2 linked regions of the Tamandua tetradactyla genome follow. The protein of the gene in region 1 purifies or fractionates together with the protein of each later gene. This does not show direct contact. Links are inferred from orthologs where the notes say so. Each region holds a gene or a part of one and is shown on either strand. Other genes may lie near its edges. The genes, in order: DERL1 and SERPINA1.

Region 1 (9,711 bases):
TCCTTGAGTTGATCAAGGACCAATATGAAGACATTTCATCGCTGTGCACTGTTCGAATGTTTGGTGTAATTATAAGGGACTAGAAATGGGGAGAAATTCTGGACTACAGTGTAGTTGAGTCTTATCACAATGTAGTGTTTCGATTTACCCAAACTAAGGAAATAACATTTTAAACTTCAGCATTCCAGACCAATAAGCATTCAGAGGAAACCAATAGTTATGGAGGAAAAATAACTTTTCTGACTTCCAACACAAATCCACAATTCTAAATGAATCATCATCAATTTTTTCTTAAATGCAAGAAGCAAAATTCCCAGGTCTACATTAAAGATCCAGCTTTGACTGAAACAATGAGCCTATAGCGGAAATTCTGCTCAAGCAACAACACACACACTCTGTCCTTTCATATCAGCCTCTCAGATGCAATTTTTCCTCAACTGCTTCATTTGCGAATGAGTTCCTCCAGGTGGGTCGAAAAGTCACACTTGTCTAGAGAAGAACAAAGTATAGAGATTAGTCTTTCCATACTTGGGCAATCAATGCATTGCACCTCCCTCCTTCCACCACTCCTCAAGCCCACAAGAAACAAAATAAGGAAGATGGGAAAAATGGGAAAGGTGTGACGTGAATGAGAACTCTTTCTAAAGGAGATTACTAGTCACTTCACCTCTTAACATTATTCACCTGCTCCCTATCAGAAAGGCTTTTTCATGTTACTTATTTTACTAATTTGATCATACAAGTCAGCAAGATTTTGCAAGGGTCAAAGTGTTGATCAAATTCTTTTCACAAAATGATTTACAACCGTGGCTCCCCATGTACACATATTACCCAATAAGGGCACCAGGCAAAATGTGCACAACACTTGCAATAGATACTTACTAAAGCAAATAAAAAGAAAACAGAACGCCATTCTGGGTGCACTTCAGCCTTATACCCAACTGCCTACTCGACTTTCTGGATACAGAAAAAGTACCTCAGACTTAGGTCAAAGCCTAAATCTTCATCCACACCCCCCAACCTGAGCCTCCCTACACACTAACCCCAATAAATGGCTCCACCAGCCTCTTGGTTAATTCCTGAATGCCATCTTTGAATCCTGTTTCTTTCACCCCTTCATTCTTCACATCCAGTCCAACAATAATCTTGTCTATTCCAACTCCCAAATCTGTCCACTTCCAACTTCAGAGCCAACCCTGAGTAAAATTCACTATCTCTTTTGCCTCCTACCTTAACTCCTCTCTGACCCCATTACCTATCCCTCTTCAAAGTGCGCTCGCTCTCCCTCCCTCTCTCTCTCAGACACACACACACGTGTGCACACGCCATGGTAGGCAACCCCCACCTCCATTCCTTCTCCCACCGCGCATGCACACACATTCACGGAGTCCACCCAATGAAGTAAAAAAGGCAATCTTGTCAGTCCTTCACTCAAAAGCCTCCAGAAACTCCTTTTGCCCTCAAAATAAACTTCAACACACTTAACATGGCCTTAGAAAGCCCTATAAGATCTGGCCCTGACCTACTTTTCCAAGTTCAGTTTACTGCACATACCCCTGACTATCTTCCTGTCCTCATCTACTGGGCCTCATTCCTACAGCTCACTTCACCAGCAATTCAGTCGTCTGCTCCTTGTTACTGCCCCTAACCTTTTCACTTCCTATTCCTTTTTCTTGGAAGGCTGTCCCAGAACAAGTTCTTCCCCAAGGCTGGCTGCTGTTACTCAGGATTCAGTTCAAATACCTTATTTGACACCTCTCTGGACCACACTGTCAAATATTACACTCCACTCTCCATCACAGGCCTCTCTTTTATTTTCTTCATGGGAGCCAGAACTTCTTCTGATCCATTCATTATTGTATCATCAGTACCCAGCACACAGCTGGTACCCAATATCCATGCACTTAACCAATAAATAAGCACCTGCTATGTGCCAGGTACTAGTCTAGGGAACAAGGTAGTAGTAAACAAGACATAGATTCTACTCTCATAGAGTCTTACACTCTGAGGGGAAGCAGAATAACAAATGTTAAGAAGTGATACATGGCAAAGAAAAGTAAAGGTAAAGGAGACAGTGTGAAGGACAGGTACTATTTTATGTAAGGCTATCAGAGAAGGCCCCACTGGCAAGGTGGCATTTGAGCAGAAACCTGAAGGAGGTAAGGAGATAAAGCAGAGAGCCACAGTTATCTTCCTCAAGAAGGGACCACCATGTGCAACAGCCCTGATGAGGGATCATTATATGATGAAGGAACAGCAAGGATGCCACTGTGGAACCTAAAGTACAAGGAGGAGAAGAGTGGGAGATGAAGTCAGAGAAGTAGCTGGGGGGCTTGCAGGCCACTGAAAGGACTGAGACTTTACTCTGCCATCTGAGAAGACACAAAGAGCTCGGAGCAGAGGACTGACAGGACTTGTCAGGATCACTCCAGCTGTTTGGAGAAAAGATTGAAAGGAATAAAATTGGAAGATGATAATGGATTGCGATGTCTAAGGTAGACTCAACATAATTTGCTGAGCAATTGTGGAGTGTGACAGTAAGAAACGTCAGAGATGACTACAAAACTTTACAGAAGCTTGAGCTTCTGTAATACTGGAGTTGCTATTTACTTCTAAAACAGAAGGCAGGAGAATTCCATTTAGAACATGTCAGGTTTGAGATGCCTGTTAGTCATCCAAGTGGTGATCTCAAATAGACTGTTGGATCTACAAGTCTAGAAAAGAGGACATCTGGACTGAAATATATCTGTATTTGTATTTGGGGGTCTTCAGTTTAAAAAGTATTTAAACCCACCAAACTGAATGAAATCACCCAGGTGCAGAATATAGAGAAGAGGTCCTGCAACTGATCCCTGGAGCACAACACAACATTTAAAGGTCAGGAGAGGACAAGCAAAGGAGACTAAGTAGCCAGTGAGGAGAAGCAAAAATGAGTGCTATCCTCGGGCTAAATACTGCACTCACTGACTTTAATCTCAAATCTTGGTATCTGACCTACAAGCAATTAAAGTTAAACTACTAAAAAAGGTGAATAAAAATAACCCCCAGTAACTTAACATTCTCTTACCAGGTGAACACTCTACATTGTTTCCTCAGGCCTAAGAAAATAACAGCATCTCCCATTTCTGGTGCAATTTACTCTTTATTCATTCGTACATTAAACTACTACATGTCAACAGTAGTTTAAACTGAGGGAGACGCAGATTAAACAAACACCTCTGAACTTCTGACCTCCTACAGAGAAAAAAAAATTCCCTTAACATGAAAAGGACTGATCACTTCGATATCTGCCAAGTTGGAACCTACATGCCACCCACGTGGGTGACAGATGTAGGTAAAAGGCATGTGCTCCAGGTCGTCCCACCCAGACTGCTAACCTTGGCGTTTTGGGGGTCCCAACACCGGTATCCAATATTGACAAATGTCACTGACTTACCTTTTCACTGCCTCCTTCACCGAGTGCGGAGCGTGGGGAGCACAATCTTAATACAAGGACAGGGTCGGTCCCTTCCTACCAGACTAAACCCACGTGTCCAGCTCTCCAGGTCCTCGTTACAGACCCCTCGGCCTCCCTTCCAGCCCAAGACCCCGCCCTAACCCCCTCGAGCTGATGCACTACGAATCCCAGCAGACACCGCGCGCCCGCAGCCTGCTGGCAAACACTTCGCAGCCGCGGGGCCCCCTGGGGCCTGTAGTCTCCACTGACTCAGGAGCCGGACAGTACCTGGAAACGATAGAGGAAGGCTTCGGGCCAGAGGAAGAGGTAGGCCGGGCTGATGAGGCCGAGTTTGCCGATCAAGGGCACCGCGACAGTGGCGGCAAACCAGTAGCGCGTGATGGCCGGGATGCTCCTGAACCAGTCCCCGATGTCCGACATCTTCGTCACTCAGGTAGCCAGGATGTGCACAGCCGCCCGACTCCGGTCCTGGCCTCCCTCCCTACGCGGCCGGCTCCGCGAGTGGAAGGTGTAGAGGGAAGCCCCGGTGCAGAAGGCGGAGACGGGTGGACGTGGCGCCACCGAATTCGGACAAGCGAGGGAGCGTTCCGAGGGGAAACTTCCCCTTCCGGCGGCCGCAGACAACGTGACCAGAAGTCCCGCCGCTTAAAGGGCAAGAGTGACTTTTACCACTGGGTCGCGGGTCCGCAGCCCTGGGGACGGGGCGGAGCCGTGAGGGGCGGGGCGAAGGCAGGACTGGTGGGAAACAGTGGTTGTCTGGAGCAACGACAAATGCTTCAGCCAATGGCGAGGCCGGATACCCTCCACCTTTTTTCCGCCAGAGATAGAAAGCAGGTGGATCCACCGTGGTAAGTATTTAAAGGGAAGCAAGCTGTTACCGCGTGTTTGTGTTGTTTCAGCAAATGGTTGTTGAGGGCCTACTGAGTACCAGGCTGAGAACATGGTACCATCTCTCTTAGAGCTTACATTATTAGGAATAGACAGATAATGAGCAAATAAATAATTGAGTAAGATAATTTTGGATAGTGATAAGGAGAATATAATAGGGTGATGGAGTAGACTGAGGCAGGGGCGGGGAGGCTGTGGGGAAAGATGACTATTTTAGATGAGAATGGTCAGGGAGTCCTCCTCTGAGGAGATGATGTTGGGCTGCGCCAGCCAGGCAAAGATAAGGGAAGAGTTTTTCATGTAAACAGCTGCTCCACCTTGCTTGGAGTGTTGGAGGAACTGAAAACAGAAATGATCTTGATGTTCATGTAGTTCACTAGGCAAGACTTAAATTACAAGCACATGAAAGTTCATCTTGTTTAATTTTTTTTAAATCTGTAAAAAAGAGATTGATGGAATTTTTTCTTTTGTTTTCAGATTTCGAGCCTACAGCTCAGAATTGATAAAGCCCTGTGATAATACCAGCAGGAACACTCCTGTAGTGCAACAAAGATTTATAAACTTTGTTTTAAACAAAGGAGATTGCACACCAGCAGAACTCTGGGCTATCTTACCAAACAAAACAAGACAGGGCTATTATTGGTTATTATGAGGAAAGATAGAGTTTTTGGTAAATTTAAATCAAGTGTTTTGCTATGTTCAAAGCAAAGCAGGGCTCTGTGTAAATGGGGTTAACATCAGGCCTAGGCCTAAAGTGGGAAGCAGACTATTTTAGTTTTCTAGGCTGCTCAAGCAATTCAAATTTATTTCCTTACAGTTTGCAGCTAAAAGAAAGTCCAAACCAAGCCATCATCAAACTGATGCTTTCTCCCGGAAGACTGACATTCTGGGGATGACTGCTGGTAATCCTTGGTCCTTGGTTTGTCACTTGGCACAACACATGATGGCTATACTGGTTTCTCCCCTTCCAGGTCTGTTGATTTCAGCTTCTGGCTGCTTCCCCTCTGGCTTTCTCTCTGTCTGTTTGAATTTCACTCTGCTTATAAAGGACTCCAATAATAGGATTAAGACCCATCCTGATTGAGGTGGGTTACACCTTAACCAGAGTAATTTCATCAAAAGGTGCTACTTACAATGGGTTCATACCCACAGGAATACATTAAAGCATGTGTTTTTCCAGGATACGTACAGCTTCCAACCACCATACAGATCCAGAGTCTTCTTCCCTTAGAAACCTCAAAGTTAAGATAAATGTGGAATACTGGGCCTGAAATCTTATTATTCAAGGCTTTACACCTGGATTGAAAATACTACATCAAAGCAACCCAAATGGCTCAACTCCTCCAGACAGGAGAAAGATGTTCCATTCACACACGTTTAAGTTCAAACCACAAAGTTTTTGACAGTTTGTGATTTTAGATAACATTTCTTAGCACCATGTCCATGATATTAACAAAATCAGCATTTACAGGATAAGAAGACAGTAACTATTCCGCAGCCCAATGAACACAAACAACATTTGGGGACCTAATAAATATTAAATGCAGAGAATATGTGAAGAAACCCATTCATACATGGTAGGAGTATAAAGTGGCACAACCTTAGGAAGACAATATTGATATAAAAGAAAAACTACAATGTTGTATAAACAGTGGACATGTTGATTAAATTATCTCCATGGAGATATGACACACCCAATTGTGGGTGTGAACTTTTGATTAGAAGGAGATGTGACTCCACCCATTCCAGGTGAGTCTTTATTAGTTTATTAGAATCCTTTAAAAGAGGAAACATTTGGGAGAGAGCCAGAAACGACAGAAACCTTGGCGTTGACAGAGAGTGAGCCAACAGAAACTTCAAAGCACAGCTGACACAGATACCGATATTTGGAGAATAGAGACACAGATGTTTGGAGATGCTTGGAGCCCAGCAGACATTGCCATGAGTGAAATGTTAAGCAAGCCAGAACCCAGAGAAAGCCAAGGGAAGTCAAGAGATGAAAGCCAATCCCAGAGAAGCAAAGTGAGGAATCCCCACAGGGACAGAGGCCCAAATGGCCAAATGAAGTCCAGGAGCAAGGGACCTGCAAGGGACTAGCTTGCTTTCCCAGCTGACAGAGATGTTCAGATGCATCCGCCTTTCTTAAATTAAGGTATCTTTACCTGGATGCCTTAGTTTGGACATTTACATAGCCTTAGAACTGTAAACTTGTAACTATTTAATAAATTCCTTTTATAAAAGCCATTCCAGTTCTGGTGTATATTGCATTCCAGTAGACTGCAAACCAGAAAAGGGAGCTTCACTTTCTATTCTCCTTCCTTTAGTCTCAAGGACGCCTTTCAGAAAGCCTCATCTATCTAAGCAATTTTCTCATTGTATTTGGGAATGATCTCACTACGTGTCAAGACACAACATCACTTTTCCCCTCTCCTCTGAATACTGTCCTAGCTCAGCTGTAGATGCCAAATCCTTTTGATTATACATGAAGCACTGCCCTTGGTTGCTTTCATGTATGTTTTATGAGAACACCTAGCCATGAATATTTATTTAAGCAGCTTTGAACACATGCTTTTGATTTGCTTTTTCTATTCTGACTCACAGTAGAATGGGGGGAGGGTTGGTACTGATGCACTATGTCATAGTTCACTTGCAGTGGCTTCTGCCTCCTTCTGCCCCTGATAAGGCCAAATAACCACGTCATCTAGAAAATGGCAAATGTTGCTTGGGTTTGCATCAGTTAGCTTGTATGACACATAATTCTTTTTTACTGATGAAATAGAAGTGTTTCCTTTGCAATGTCAGTTTTCCTACACAAGGTGTCAATAAAACCTTGACATTTAACTGTTGCCAGTTTGGATTCCTTCCAAGGTGACTGAGTTGGTCAACACTTAAACACTCTTTATTTCAATTAGAACAGCAACTACCCTATTTCTGCCTCAAGTCTCAAAGTCTTTTTAAGTGATCTTCCCACTGCAGTTAGAAGGATGTATCCAGAAACCACTTCAAGTTTCCCTAGAACCTTTAAGGACAAGATCCTAACTCTTTATAATGGCAGTCCAGGTCCTTTTATGACTTTTGCATATTCTTACTCTTATGTTCATACCCTTCACCTTGGCAGTAATATAAAAATAACTACCATCATCATCATCATCATCGCGGGCTTTCTAAGTGCTCAGCACTTACATACATGTTACATACATAATGACACCCAGTGCAGTCTGTGCTTTCACTGCACTGAGCTCCTCCCGTTTCTGGAAGACACCATGCTGTTTCCCAACATACACACACACACACACACACACACACACACACACACAAACCTTTCTATAGATGATGTTTCCTCTCCTCACTTTTCCTCCACCTGGATAACCCTATTCATCCTTCCAAATTCAGCTCATGTAATGCCAGTTCCTAAAACCTTCCATCTCTTTTTCTTCCAATTCCATCTGCTTTAGAAATAAAAGCAATGTTTTAGCTAGAGTAACCATAGTACAGGAAGGACAGGAGGCCAGTGGTGCTGCTGGAACAATCAGAATCATGGATGTAAATGCTACCAGGATGCTCTCTTTCCATCTCTTTTTTTTTTTTTTTTTTTTTTCTGATTTTGCCTGAGCATCAGTCCGCCTCTCTCAGATCGGCTGTCTACACAACGCTGAAGCCACTGCTTTTGGCAAGCCCCAGGTTTTACTACCAGAGAGGGACTATGACTTGCTGTTCTTGGTCTTATACTCAAAAATCCAAGCAAAAGGCTCTGATTGGCTCTTTAGTCAAGCCCCACCCTGGGCCAATCACAGTGACCCAGGTGGGCTAAAAAAGTGTTGTATGAGAGCAGTGCAGTTCTTAGTATGGGGAGGGAGGGCCGGGCAGGCAAAACTAGCCGTGTCTACATTCCTACCACACTTTGCCCTAGACCCACTTCCTCTGTGCTCTTGAGAACCATTTGTTGAGCAACACTCCCTTTAATGTATGAATAAGTCCTTTTTTACAAGGGGAATGGAACAGAATCTTGTTATACGGGTTCCCAAAGATTTGTAGCCCAGGCTAGCAATCAATCATTTTCTGGTCCAAGGCAGTCTTTTGGAAAAAACATATAAATCTGGTGCATGAGAGGCAGAAAAACATAGGTATGGCAGAGTGAGATAATGGAGCCAGACAGATCTACATTTGAATCTTGGCTCAGTAGCTCTATGACCTTGGGCAAATTATATAACAACTCCAAGCCTTAGTTTCCTCATCTGTAACATGGGAACAAAATCAATATATTAGGAAGGGCTACTTCATGCTGCAATAATAAACAACCTCCAAAGCTCATTTTCTCTTCTGTGTACAAAGCCTTTTCTACTTCATCCTTCCAGGCCTACCTCACATGTCATTCCTCTTGTTTTTTTTCCCCACCCCACCCTCTAGGAGCATTAATTGCTCTCTTCTCTGAAATTCCACTGATACCTCACTTATAGCGCTGATCACATGGTTTTATACTTACATATTTATTTTTCCCTTGTACTCTCCATTTCAACCAAAGCTATGAGCATTCCAAGGACATGGAATTCATCTTTTTTTTTTTAACCTCTCCGTCCCCAGGTCCTTGCACAGGGCTGGACACATAATTGGCATTCAAAATGTTGAGTGACTGACTGGCTGACTCACTAGTTGAATGAATGAATGACAAGAGCAGCACGTGACCTACTTGTACGCAGACGAAGGGCTAATCTGGGCCATTTGTCTATTGTTATAGGATTATTGTTTTAACTAAAAAACAAAAACAAAAAAGCTTGAAGTAGTTTAAGTTTAAACAACATCTCAGTTTTTTCAATAAAACGTATTAAGTGCTTACTGTATGTCTGGTATAAGCGAATTCCTCTACTTGACAAAGATATATGTGCTACTGATAAAAATTTTGTTTGGTTACCTGTGTGGGATAAAATGTGCAAAACAGCCCATGTTTCAAGTTATGTGCATATGCTTAATACTCGTTTCCTGTATAATAAAACAAACATTCACACATATAGTTTGTAACCATCTCAAACCCAATAAATAAAAATTAGGAATGTGGTTGTGTCCTCCAGAATAGATTATTAAAAATGGTCTGACCTCTCAGAGTTATACCTTTGCATAAATAGTTTTATTTTTTTGTATGCTGTATGGCAGGGTCACATTTCGTTCTTTTCCATGTGAGTATCCTGTTATTGCAGCACCATTTGTTAAATTGTTTGTTTGTTGTTGGTTTCATTGTTCATTTGTTTGGGAAGTACATGGGCTGGGAATCAAACCCAGGTCTCCTGCATGGCAGGTGAAAATTCTACCACTGAACTATCCTTGCACCACCATAAATAGTTTTTAAATCCACATCAGGACTGATAAAATTT
Region 2 (9,935 bases), on another chromosome or scaffold:
TCCATTAGAGGCAAGGGCAGACAGGGAAGGAGCAGCAAGAGAGGGACTGGAGCATATGGGAGTGGAGAGGAGTGAAGGAGGCCTCTGGAAATGAGATGGACAGGAAGCAAGAGGCCAGGGGTTTGGACGCCCCCTCCACAGGGATGTTGAGTGATGGCCAGTCTCCAGCAATGCAGGGTATGGCCCTCAGACCTGGGAAAGGTGGGATCATCCAGGTTCAGAAGCAGGAGGGAGGCTGGAGAAGGAGCCCCCTCCACTGGTGTGTCTTCAGGCTTCCTGACAAGTATACAGGAGGATGAGGAACTGCTGTTAAGAGGGAGAAGGGCAGCTGAGTCCCTGAGCTGAGAAGCCAGTAGGAGAGATGCTGAGATTGTTCCATTGAGCAAGGACATTTCACCATCTGCAGGGCACTGTGGACCCACCCTAAACGTGTTTGCTCTTTGCTGGCATGAGAGGTGGTGGAGACCCTATGAGGGAGGTAGAGGGAGTTAGAAGAAATGGAACTAATTGGAGTCCAGAGAACTGGGTTCCAGACAATCCAGGGAGCCCAGCTCCTTCCTGGCACTCAACCCCAGCATCAGTTAGTCCAGTCTGCCACCTATTCCCTTTAGCTCTTGAACCTGCCTCTCCTCTCCATCCGTCTGCCTCGTCCTCCCTCAACTGGCCATCTGCAAGGGCCTCCAGGATCCTTAGCCCCCATCAGAGTGTCACTTCTCCTTTGCAAACTTTGAGCCTGGCGCCCCAGAGGTGATATTTAGTGAGTGAATGAATAAATGAACAGATACATTAATAGAAAGGAAAACTAAAGAAGACAGCCTCGTAAGCTGACTATAGATGGAGGAAGGAGGGCAGGGAGGAAGAGAAGGAGGCAGACTGGCTGCATCGTCAACACCGTGGTGACTCTCTGTGCCTCAGTTTCCTCATCGAATGACAATTATGGAACTCATGGCATGGGATTGTGTGAGTTGATAATCACACAGCATTTGGAACAGAGCCTCGTACTGAGCACGTGCTTGAGAAGCATCAGCTGGGATAGAAGTCAGTTTGGGAATCTGTGTCATAAAATGAAAGCAGCGAGAGACTCCGGAAGACCTAGCAAACACAGATGCTTAAAGTCAATATGGACAACGTGAACAAGGTGAATCGACCCATTTCAACCCAAGGTCTATGTTAGGCAAGTTCTAAAGGGCCCCATGGTTCTCTGTTATCTGAGCCACCCACACAAAGTTGCATTTCTGATAAGCAAGTCCCAAAGTCCTGCTGCATCTCCCTTGGCCCCGGGCATGGGTGCACCCACAGTCCCAGCCCGCTGGCCTGCCCTGCTCGCTTTTCTCTCCCATTCCAGCAGGGAGCCTCAGACAGGGGCACCCACGTCATGAGGCAGGAAAAATGAGGACGTGCCTAGAACTTGGTGTCATTGCTGCCAAGCAAGTGGGTGCTTTCCAGAACATCTGCAGGGATTGCTGCAAGGAGAAAAGAGAGAGCACTGACAGGAGTGCCTATTGGACAATATGCGGCCATTTGAACATCGAATAGGAAATAATTATAGTTCAATAGGACAGGCTGCAAGTTCATAGTGACACTCAAAGAAAAGTTTGAAAGAAGTGTAGAAAAGCTTTGTTATGACACACGTTAGTTTTATTAATTTTAATAAGCAGGTGGCAGAACTATAAATGCATGTTTTAGTCCTTCTATCAGCTGTGTTGTCACTCACCAATGCATAGATATGCTTTATTTCCTTCTCTATCTGATTAGGACAAGGAATGAAAACAAGGCACTGTGAACAATCCACACAGAGCTGGAGAGAGCAAGAATCACATGCAGGAAGCAGAGCCAGAGGTTGCACACACAGGGAAGAAGGCTCCAGCAGGGCGTGGCAAATTGGTGGATTCACAAGTATGCCCAGAGTAAGTGAAATAATTGTGCAAACTCAATTCACCTCCAGAAGATAAAATCTTGAAACATCAGGTTAATCCTGTTAATTAAAACAATTTATGAGAAGACAAACACAAGTGCTGTTTGTGTTAACAAGCAGGCCCTGCATTAAACACCCTCATTTAAACCTCACAACGGTCATGTGAGAAAGGGATTATCATCCCACTTTATAGATGAGGAGACCGAGGTTTAGAGATGTAAAGTGAAGCCTTCCCCTGGATCCAAGTCTGCCTGCCTCTGATTGCTTTGGCATCTCACAGGTGCTCTGAAAGATGCTTCTGACCTTGTACCTCCAAGAAGCAAAATGAGGGCAGGCCCTCAGGAGAGGGGATTGGAGGCATTTTCAGATAAGCAGAGACCTGAATCTGAGAATAGTGCTACTCACCAAGCCTAGAACCCAGGACCTATCTAAAAGGTTTTCCAGCCCAGCTCCCCAAAGATGATGGAGGTGGGTGGGCATTGCCTTGCAGTCTGGCATGTGCCTGAGGCTGCCCTAAGCACTTGATGCATTGTCTCATTTACTCTTCACAATCTTGGTGGAAGGCACTATTCTTATCCCTATTTTACAGATAAAGAAACTGAGGCATAGAGACGTTAAGTGGCTTGTCTACAATCACACAAAAAGAGTAGAGTTAAGGTTTGGACCAGATAGCTTAGCCTCTGAGCCCGTGATTTAATCACTGATTTATAATGCCCCCCAAGAGAAGGGAGCAGTGCTGGAGCAGGGAGGGGAAAGTCTGAGAGTGGGGATGTCTGGTGTGTGTGTAGGGGGGAGGAGGGCAGCACAGGCTGGTTCCTACACTCTCTTACCAAGGGGTTCAGCAGCCCTGAAATCCAGCCAGGGGACCTCTGGTCTTTGATCAACTTGGCCCAGGGCCCTTCTCCAGCATACCCCACACCTCACCCACAACTTGTTGCAGACCCCAGCCTCAGCTCTCATGCCTCTCCCCATCCCACATGCCGGACTCCCATTCTTGGGCCCTATGGAGAGGTAAGATCTCCCCAGATGCCCCTTATTTACAACCAGCCAAGATATGCATTCACTCCAGGGAACAGCCCAGAGGCTAATAGACAATTCCAGAAGTAACCAAGTGGATACAATTTTCCCCACCATGGTCTGTGGTTCGTGGGCACAGTGCCCTCAAGAATGGCCACTGGGTGCCCCCTAGGCATTCTGTCCTTGCTCATTTTCCCAGACACCCCACCCCTTCTCTCAGGAGTATGCCCAGAGTAGTTCTCTGCAGCATCAAAGGTGATAGGAAGATGCCAAGAGGAAAGTGTGGGAGTTTAAAGATAGACAGATAAGGAAGGGTGGGACATGGAGTCCTTGACCCAAAAGTCTCAGGGAGGACCTGCACCCCAGGACTGGCCTGAGAGGTCTGCCCAGCAGAGAGATCTGCTGGATCCCTCCTGCATCCAGCCAGGATCTGGGACATACCTTCTCCCAGCCTCCAAGGGCCCCCTTTGGGCATTTCAGAGATGGCTCATCCTCTTCCTTCTGCAGCTGGCCCTGGGCACCAGCAGAGATTCCATATGCCCAAGCCTAGGCAAGTAGGGTCACGCCTGCCATCTCCATTAATCATGAGCTGGGTGCCATCCCTCTCACAGAGGCCAGGGGAACTGATGACTAGTTCTGGGCCACACAGCCCTGGGACAGGGCAGGACAGCTGGTGACACACAGAGCTACCTGGGCTGGAAAGGCATGGCATGGCATCTGCCTGACAAGCTAGCGGCTTTGTGTAAGGCCACTTCCTGCCCCAGTGCCCCCACCCCTCCAGATCTGTTGCCACTGCCAGGAGCCTCAGTCCTCCTGGGGAGGCAGAGATTGCACAGCACTCAGGGTGCCCACAGCCTCCCCGCAGCAGCCCAGGAGCCCAGGAGCATTGTTGGAGGAGGAGGAAGTGGAGGAGTTGGCCTGCCCAGCAGGCGTGGCGGCCACGGCAGCCCTGCAGCACCCAGAACTCAAGGTAGAGGGGCAGGTGCCCAGGCCACTGGCCAAGGAGACAGAGTTGGGGAATGCGGGAAGGTGGGCTTCCTTCCAGAGAGCATTGCTCACCCTGGGTGAGAGATAAGAGGGGCAGCTGGGCTGTGGGGCTTTTGTACAGATAGGGAACTGAGGCCCAGGGAGGGAAAGGAACTTGCCCAGGAGCATGGAGGACAGGCCCAGCTGTCTAGACTGTGAGCAGATGTAGAGTCCTGGAGAAAATGCCCACTTGTCAGCTCAGGAGAAAAAGCAGGGGCCTTAAAGGCAGAGGATGGAGCTGTGGGCCTAAAGGGGGAGTGGGGCAGAGAGGGGAACCTCGCCTTTCTGAGCCTCTGTTTCCCACTCCTATTAGAAAGGCAGTATACAAACTCAGCCCACAGGCTTCCTGTGAGTAAATGAAAGAATGCCTTGCCCCAGGGACCAACTGCCTAGAGGAAGCTCCTAGAACATACCCTTTCCTCACCCACCCCAAGGCCTTCCCTAATCATGGTCAGCAAGGGCTGTGGCCAGGACCTCAGGGAGACCCACTAATGCAGAGGAGGGATGGCAGGCTGAGCTGTGCACACCCAACTCTGGACTAATCTTGGGTTGCTGCATTTAGTCCTCACAACACCAAAATGGGATAGGAACCCACTTTACAGACAGAGAAACTGAGGCACAGGAAGGTTAAAGAATTTTCCTGAAGATTTCACCACTAGCGAGACACACCTAGCCCCCGAGTCCCTGTTCTGAACCTGGGTGTAAAGGAACCAGCAGGTCACTCATCTGGCAGAGCCCCAAAGTAGAAGCAAAACTGGGACTGGGTCCATGAGAGAAGGGGCTAAACTCATTTACTCACACACTCAGCAAATACCTTCTGAGTATAGCCCAGGTGCCAAGCAGGCACCAGACCCTGGGGTATGAGTGGGCAAAGCAAACAGAAGGTCCTACGTGAGGCATACAGTGTGGTCATCAGAGAGGCAGCAGAAGAAAGAAGGGACAAAGGGGGTGGGAGGGTTGATGCTGGTTCATTTAGGGCAAGGCCACGGAAAGCCTCTCTGGTTGGGGGGAGCTTGGGGAGAGGCCTGAATGGAGTGAGGGAACAGTGTTTCTGGCAGCAGGAACAGCTAGCCTCCCTGAGACTGGAGTAGGCCCACTAGATTCCAGGGAGAAAAGGTCAGTGAAACTGGAGCAGAATAATCACTGGAGTCCATGAAAAGAGGACCCAGCAGGGGGTTTGTGGGCCACTGTAGGGACTTTGATTTTGTCTCTGAGCCAGAGGGAGCCACGGATTGGGATGGAGGTGGCACAGGGGGTATGTGAATTTACTTAGGATTTTAAAGGGATCACAATCAAGAGGAGCTGGGCAGGGCTGGAGCCTACTGACCTCTGCCCTAGCACACCACCCCCAACCACCATCAGAGTCCCCAAGGCGACGGCCTGCACCTGTGGCCTGGACCACTTTCCTGAGGACAGGGCAAGCAGTGGATGTGTTGCACCCGCCGGCTGGGAGCTGAGCCTCCTTCTGTGACAGCAGCCCGGAAGCAGCGCTGAACAGAGGAAACAAGAGAAAGGACCTACTGCGGGTCAGGTATTTTAAACAAATTACCTTGTGCAGCACTGACAAGGATGCTAGGAGGGGAAACTTCCAACAACTATGAGGCAGAGAGAAACACCTCCTGGTTCAGAGAAGTGAAGCCGTCTGCCTGAGGCCACACAGCTCTTTAGTGGCAGATACAGGCAAGATTTGACCTAGAATGGCCTCAGCCAAAGCCAGACTCTCTTTACAAGTTCATACTCTGGTCCCCACCTGGACCCTTGGAGACCCACACGAGCCTAAAGTGACCATGTCGGCCTCATCATTTCCCACCATCCCCTTGGCAAAGTCAAGAGGGATTTTACACCGGAGGCTGGTTTGGTGATTTTAGATCAGGGGCCTCTCCTTTCTGGGCCTCAGTTTCCCCCTCTGATAATAACCCACATTAGCCTCCCCAGGCAGAGCCTTCAAAATGACTCAGCAAATGGGGGCTCTCGCTCTTGGGAGGGTGAGGCAGCCCTGGAGGGCTCCTGAGCAGGCGCATAGAGCTGGCCACGTGGGGCTGGGCCCGGAGGTCTGACTCACCCCCGACACACACTCACCCCCAGCCTTAGATGCAAGACGCGGCGGTTTATGAGCCAGAAAAGCCGGCTCCCTTTGGCATTCGGGGCAGAGGGCCATGCCGAGAGCGGAAGGGCAGCCTGGGTGGGCGGCCTGCTGCCCATCATGGACTTAGTCCCTGTTTGCTCCTCCGATAACTGGGTGACCTTGGTTAATGTTCACTAGCAGCCTCCCCCATCGTCCCATCTGCATCCACTGCTTAAATACGGACGAGCGCAGGGGATCTGTCTCCTCAGCTTTGGTCACCAGCCCGGCTCTGGGACCGTGAATCGTGAGTATTCTTTTGCTGGGGAGAGCCTCCCAAGACCCTCCTGCTCTGTGTGGCCAGGCAGGCAGCTGGTCTGGGGCCGATGGGGGGTGGCCCCAGGAGACTCAGGCAAGATGGAGCCTGAACCCCTATTTCCTGTTGTCATAGCCACAGCAGCCCCAGGGTCCCCGCTTTCTGAGCCTGCCCAGGGGTTCCTGATTGAGTATATAGTCACAGCCTATATATTCCATAGGCAAGAAGTAGAAGACCCTCCATTCTGGGGGTGGGGGGAGGTGGGGGTTGGCATCTGGCTCCACAGTCCCCGGACCCCAGAAGACCCCAGGACACAGCAGCAGCAACAGTGAGGGTGGTGGGTCCTGTTTGCACTGGACCTGTATCTTCACGGCTTTCCTGTGGTCTGTGTCCTACAAGCTTCACAGGCCCTCCATGCTTGGGTGCGTGCCCTTTTCCCCTTCTACAGGTGAGGAAGGTAAGGCCCAGGGAGGGGCAGTGACCAGCCCAGGGTCACGTAGGGACCGCATCGGCCTCCAGCCTGTTCAGACGGAGTGGAACTGTGCAGGCCCTCAGCCTGGATGGGCCCCCACATGCGGTGGGGACAGGGAGCTGGGGGCTGGGGCCAGGCTGCCTGAGTTTGAATCCTGGAGGGTGTATGATTTGGGGCAAGCTGTTACCCTCTGTGCCCCCAATTTCCTCATCTGTAAAATGGGTATAACCATAGTAGCCATCTTGGACGGTTTTTGTGAGCTTCAATTCACCCATACGTGAAAAGGCTGAGATGTTGCCAGGGGTCCTAGCCCCAGACCCCAGCTCTGCCTACCAGGGTCTACTCTAGAGGTATTTCTCAGGCTCTGGCCAGAAACCCCAAATGCTGGGCTGGCCTCAAGGCCCTCTGTCGGATGCTCAGTAGTCTTCTTTGCAGCTAACATCTCTGTCCTCTTATACAAAATAGAGATAACCTTTGCCCTCCCTCCTTCCCTCTCATCCCACCTTACTCTCTGGAATGTTGGAAGGATTTGATTTTTCTATTATCAGTTTTTGGAGGTGAGGGCTCCAGGGATAACTAAAGCCAGAGGAGCTGGAGGCCCATTTGGCAACCTGGAAAGGTCCATGACAGCATCAGTAACCATAACTTGGGCTTCCTGAGAGCTTACCATGCACCAAACACTTCTCAAGACTTTGTGTATATTCAATCTGCACGTTTTGGCTCTGGGAGGGAAGGCCATGCTGATCATCACCAGGAAGGTTCAGAGAGGGTAAGTGACTTGTCCAAGTCACACAGCCAATGGCCATTAGAACTCAGGCAATCTGGCCTCAAAGCCTCTCCCCTTGGCTGCTAAGCCATGCTGGCCCTTTATATTTAGCCAGGCCATCTCTGAGGTTTTTTTCTGTTTGAAGACTCCTCACTTCAGCTTTGAACGAAGAGAATGCAAGGAATGGAGCAGGAATGCCTAATCTTATATCCAGTTTCTAAGCTCCTAGCTCCGTGGTTTTTAGTAACCTCCTGGTGTCTCCATTTCTCCAACTATAAAATAGGCTAATAATAATTCACCCTTCATGGGGTAAGCTCTGAGGGAAGATTAAATGGGACAGTGCCCATAAAACACCGGATGTTTAGTAAGTGCAATGCTGCTTCTGTTTGTTTAGCATAGGGCTCGGAGCTAATAAACCTTAAATTAACATGAAGAGTTGAATATACTGTTTGTTTACCAAATTCAGAGGTAACACCGCCTCACTCCTTTAACGCCCCTGGATAGAAATGGTGTGAGATCAGGCAGAAGGACAGCACACGCCATTCTCTCCTGCCTGCCCAGTCCTGCTCACACCTGCCCTGGATATTGGCAATAGCACCATTAGATTCTCACTGTTTGGTTTAAAGTGTGGACTCTGTGCTCACATACTTCTGATGACATCACCACCCAGTTCCTCTTCTCCAGTTAGGTTTCCCCAGCCTGGGCTTTGGGGTGTCCTCCCTCCCAGAGGGGGCTGGCCTTGATAAAAACGAGAGAATCGAATCGAGGCCTTGGGCTCCTTGGGTTGTAAGGAACAGATTCAGAAGCAAATGAACCAAAAAGGGGATGCTAGAGGCCAATGTCAGATCCTCCAGGGCCCAATTCTGATTTTCTGTGGGTCAAAGACCTGAAGACGCAGCTGCCTCAAATGGCGGCCAGAGTGGTGAGAAAACAAAGGGTGGTTCAGGATTTGTCCCTAACTTGCTGTGTGAGCCTGGCCAGGCCCTGCCCATCTCTGGGCCTCAGTCCTTCACTATGAAAGAAGGAAATTAGTGTGTAGGATGTAACACCCGGGAAGATTAGAGGTAGATACTCACTGCCTGCACCACTGGCTATAGTTGCCCCACACCAGTGTGCCCCTGAAAGGCCAGAAGCTCCTGGAGTGGGAGCGTACCTCACCCATGCCCCTCCCATGAAAATTCTCAGTCTCAGTTGTGCTCAATCAAACCCCGGATCTACCTTCAATAAAAATCTAATGTAATCAGGAGACCTCATTTTGGCCCATCCAGGCCCTCTAGCTCCAGTGAAGGAAAACAGGGCCCCAGGGACAAGGCAATGCCAGCCCAGGGCCAAGTGTACAGTAGTGGAAACACAGGGATCCCCGGCCTCTGACCTCAGACCACTCAGCACACCTAGTGTCCCCACCTTGCCTGTGCCCAAGTCCCATCCAGTCCCTGAGCCCTGCAAGGATGGGGAATTTCCAGACCTCCTAAGGACTCCCAAATCCAGTCAGGAAGTAAGGGAGACACCTGAGGGAGATGGAAATAAACAGAACTAATTTTAGCACTGGCCTTGGAGCTGAAACAACTGGCTAGTTTTAAGGAAAACATAAACATGTTTGCTCTATTTGGATTATTAGAAGCACAAAAGTCAGAAAAAAGGTGGTAAAGGGAAATAAGTTTAGTGATTCATTCTGTTGTTTTGGAGGGAAGAAACTTCTAAACGTCCAAGTGTGGACTTTTCTTTTTCCCAACTTTTCCCATCAGGAAAATTCGAGATCATATCCCAAATTCGAGAATAAATTTCTCTTTGCATTTTATGATGATTTTAGTTATGTGCACAATAGCTAGGTGTCCATTGGCAGGGTCTCCTCTTCTTTGACCTCAGTTTCTCTATCAGTGGTGAGAGTGGGTTGAACTTATGAGGCTACAAATGGGTAGCCCAAGGCCTGCGCAAATCTGGACAGGAAGCTCAATGGAGCAGGGCAGGCTCTGTGACCACAGACACCGTTACTTTCAGCATCCCGAGGCACAGCTGCCCTCACTGGATCAGCCAGAGGCCTTCAGCTCCCTGTATTTCACCCCCAGACCTCAAACACATTTGCCTCCCCTGCCTGGCCCTGAAGGCTTGAGTTAGCAACTGATACTACTCTTGTTGACAAAAGAGTTGTTCTCTCAGACCCCTCCAGCTAAGGGTTGGCATCTTGACTTATTTCACCTAATTCTCCCCAAAATCCCATTTCACAGATGAGGCACAATGAGGCTCAGAGAGATAAAATGAGAGGAGGTAAGCAACAGACCCAGGATTAGGACCTGGATGTGTCTGAAAATAAAGGCAATGCTTTTTCGGCATCCTTGCACACTCATTCCCTACCCCACCCCA

Evidence for each region.
Region 2: the proteins of DERL1 (region 1) and SERPINA1 purify together in Homo sapiens (affinity purification with western blotting; 4 studies listed by BioGRID). This does not show direct contact. The link is inferred for Tamandua tetradactyla from reciprocal best matches to the Homo sapiens genes DERL1 and SERPINA1.

What each region holds. Positions count from the first base shown.
Region 1 is NC_135332.1:167,568,690-167,578,400, forward strand, and holds the start of DERL1 (derlin-1), read right to left. Parts: upstream 4,164-9,711; 5' UTR 3,878-4,163; coding exon 3,725-3,877; intron 3,565-3,724; exon of another isoform or gene 3,437-3,564; intron 1-3,436. UniProt on the Homo sapiens protein: Functional component of endoplasmic reticulum-associated degradation (ERAD) for misfolded lumenal proteins. Forms homotetramers which encircle a large channel traversing the endoplasmic reticulum (ER) membrane.
Region 2 is NC_135338.1:55,473,760-55,483,694, reverse strand, and holds the start of SERPINA1 (alpha-1-antitrypsin), read left to right. Parts: upstream 1-6,209; 5' UTR 6,210-6,327; intron 6,328-9,935.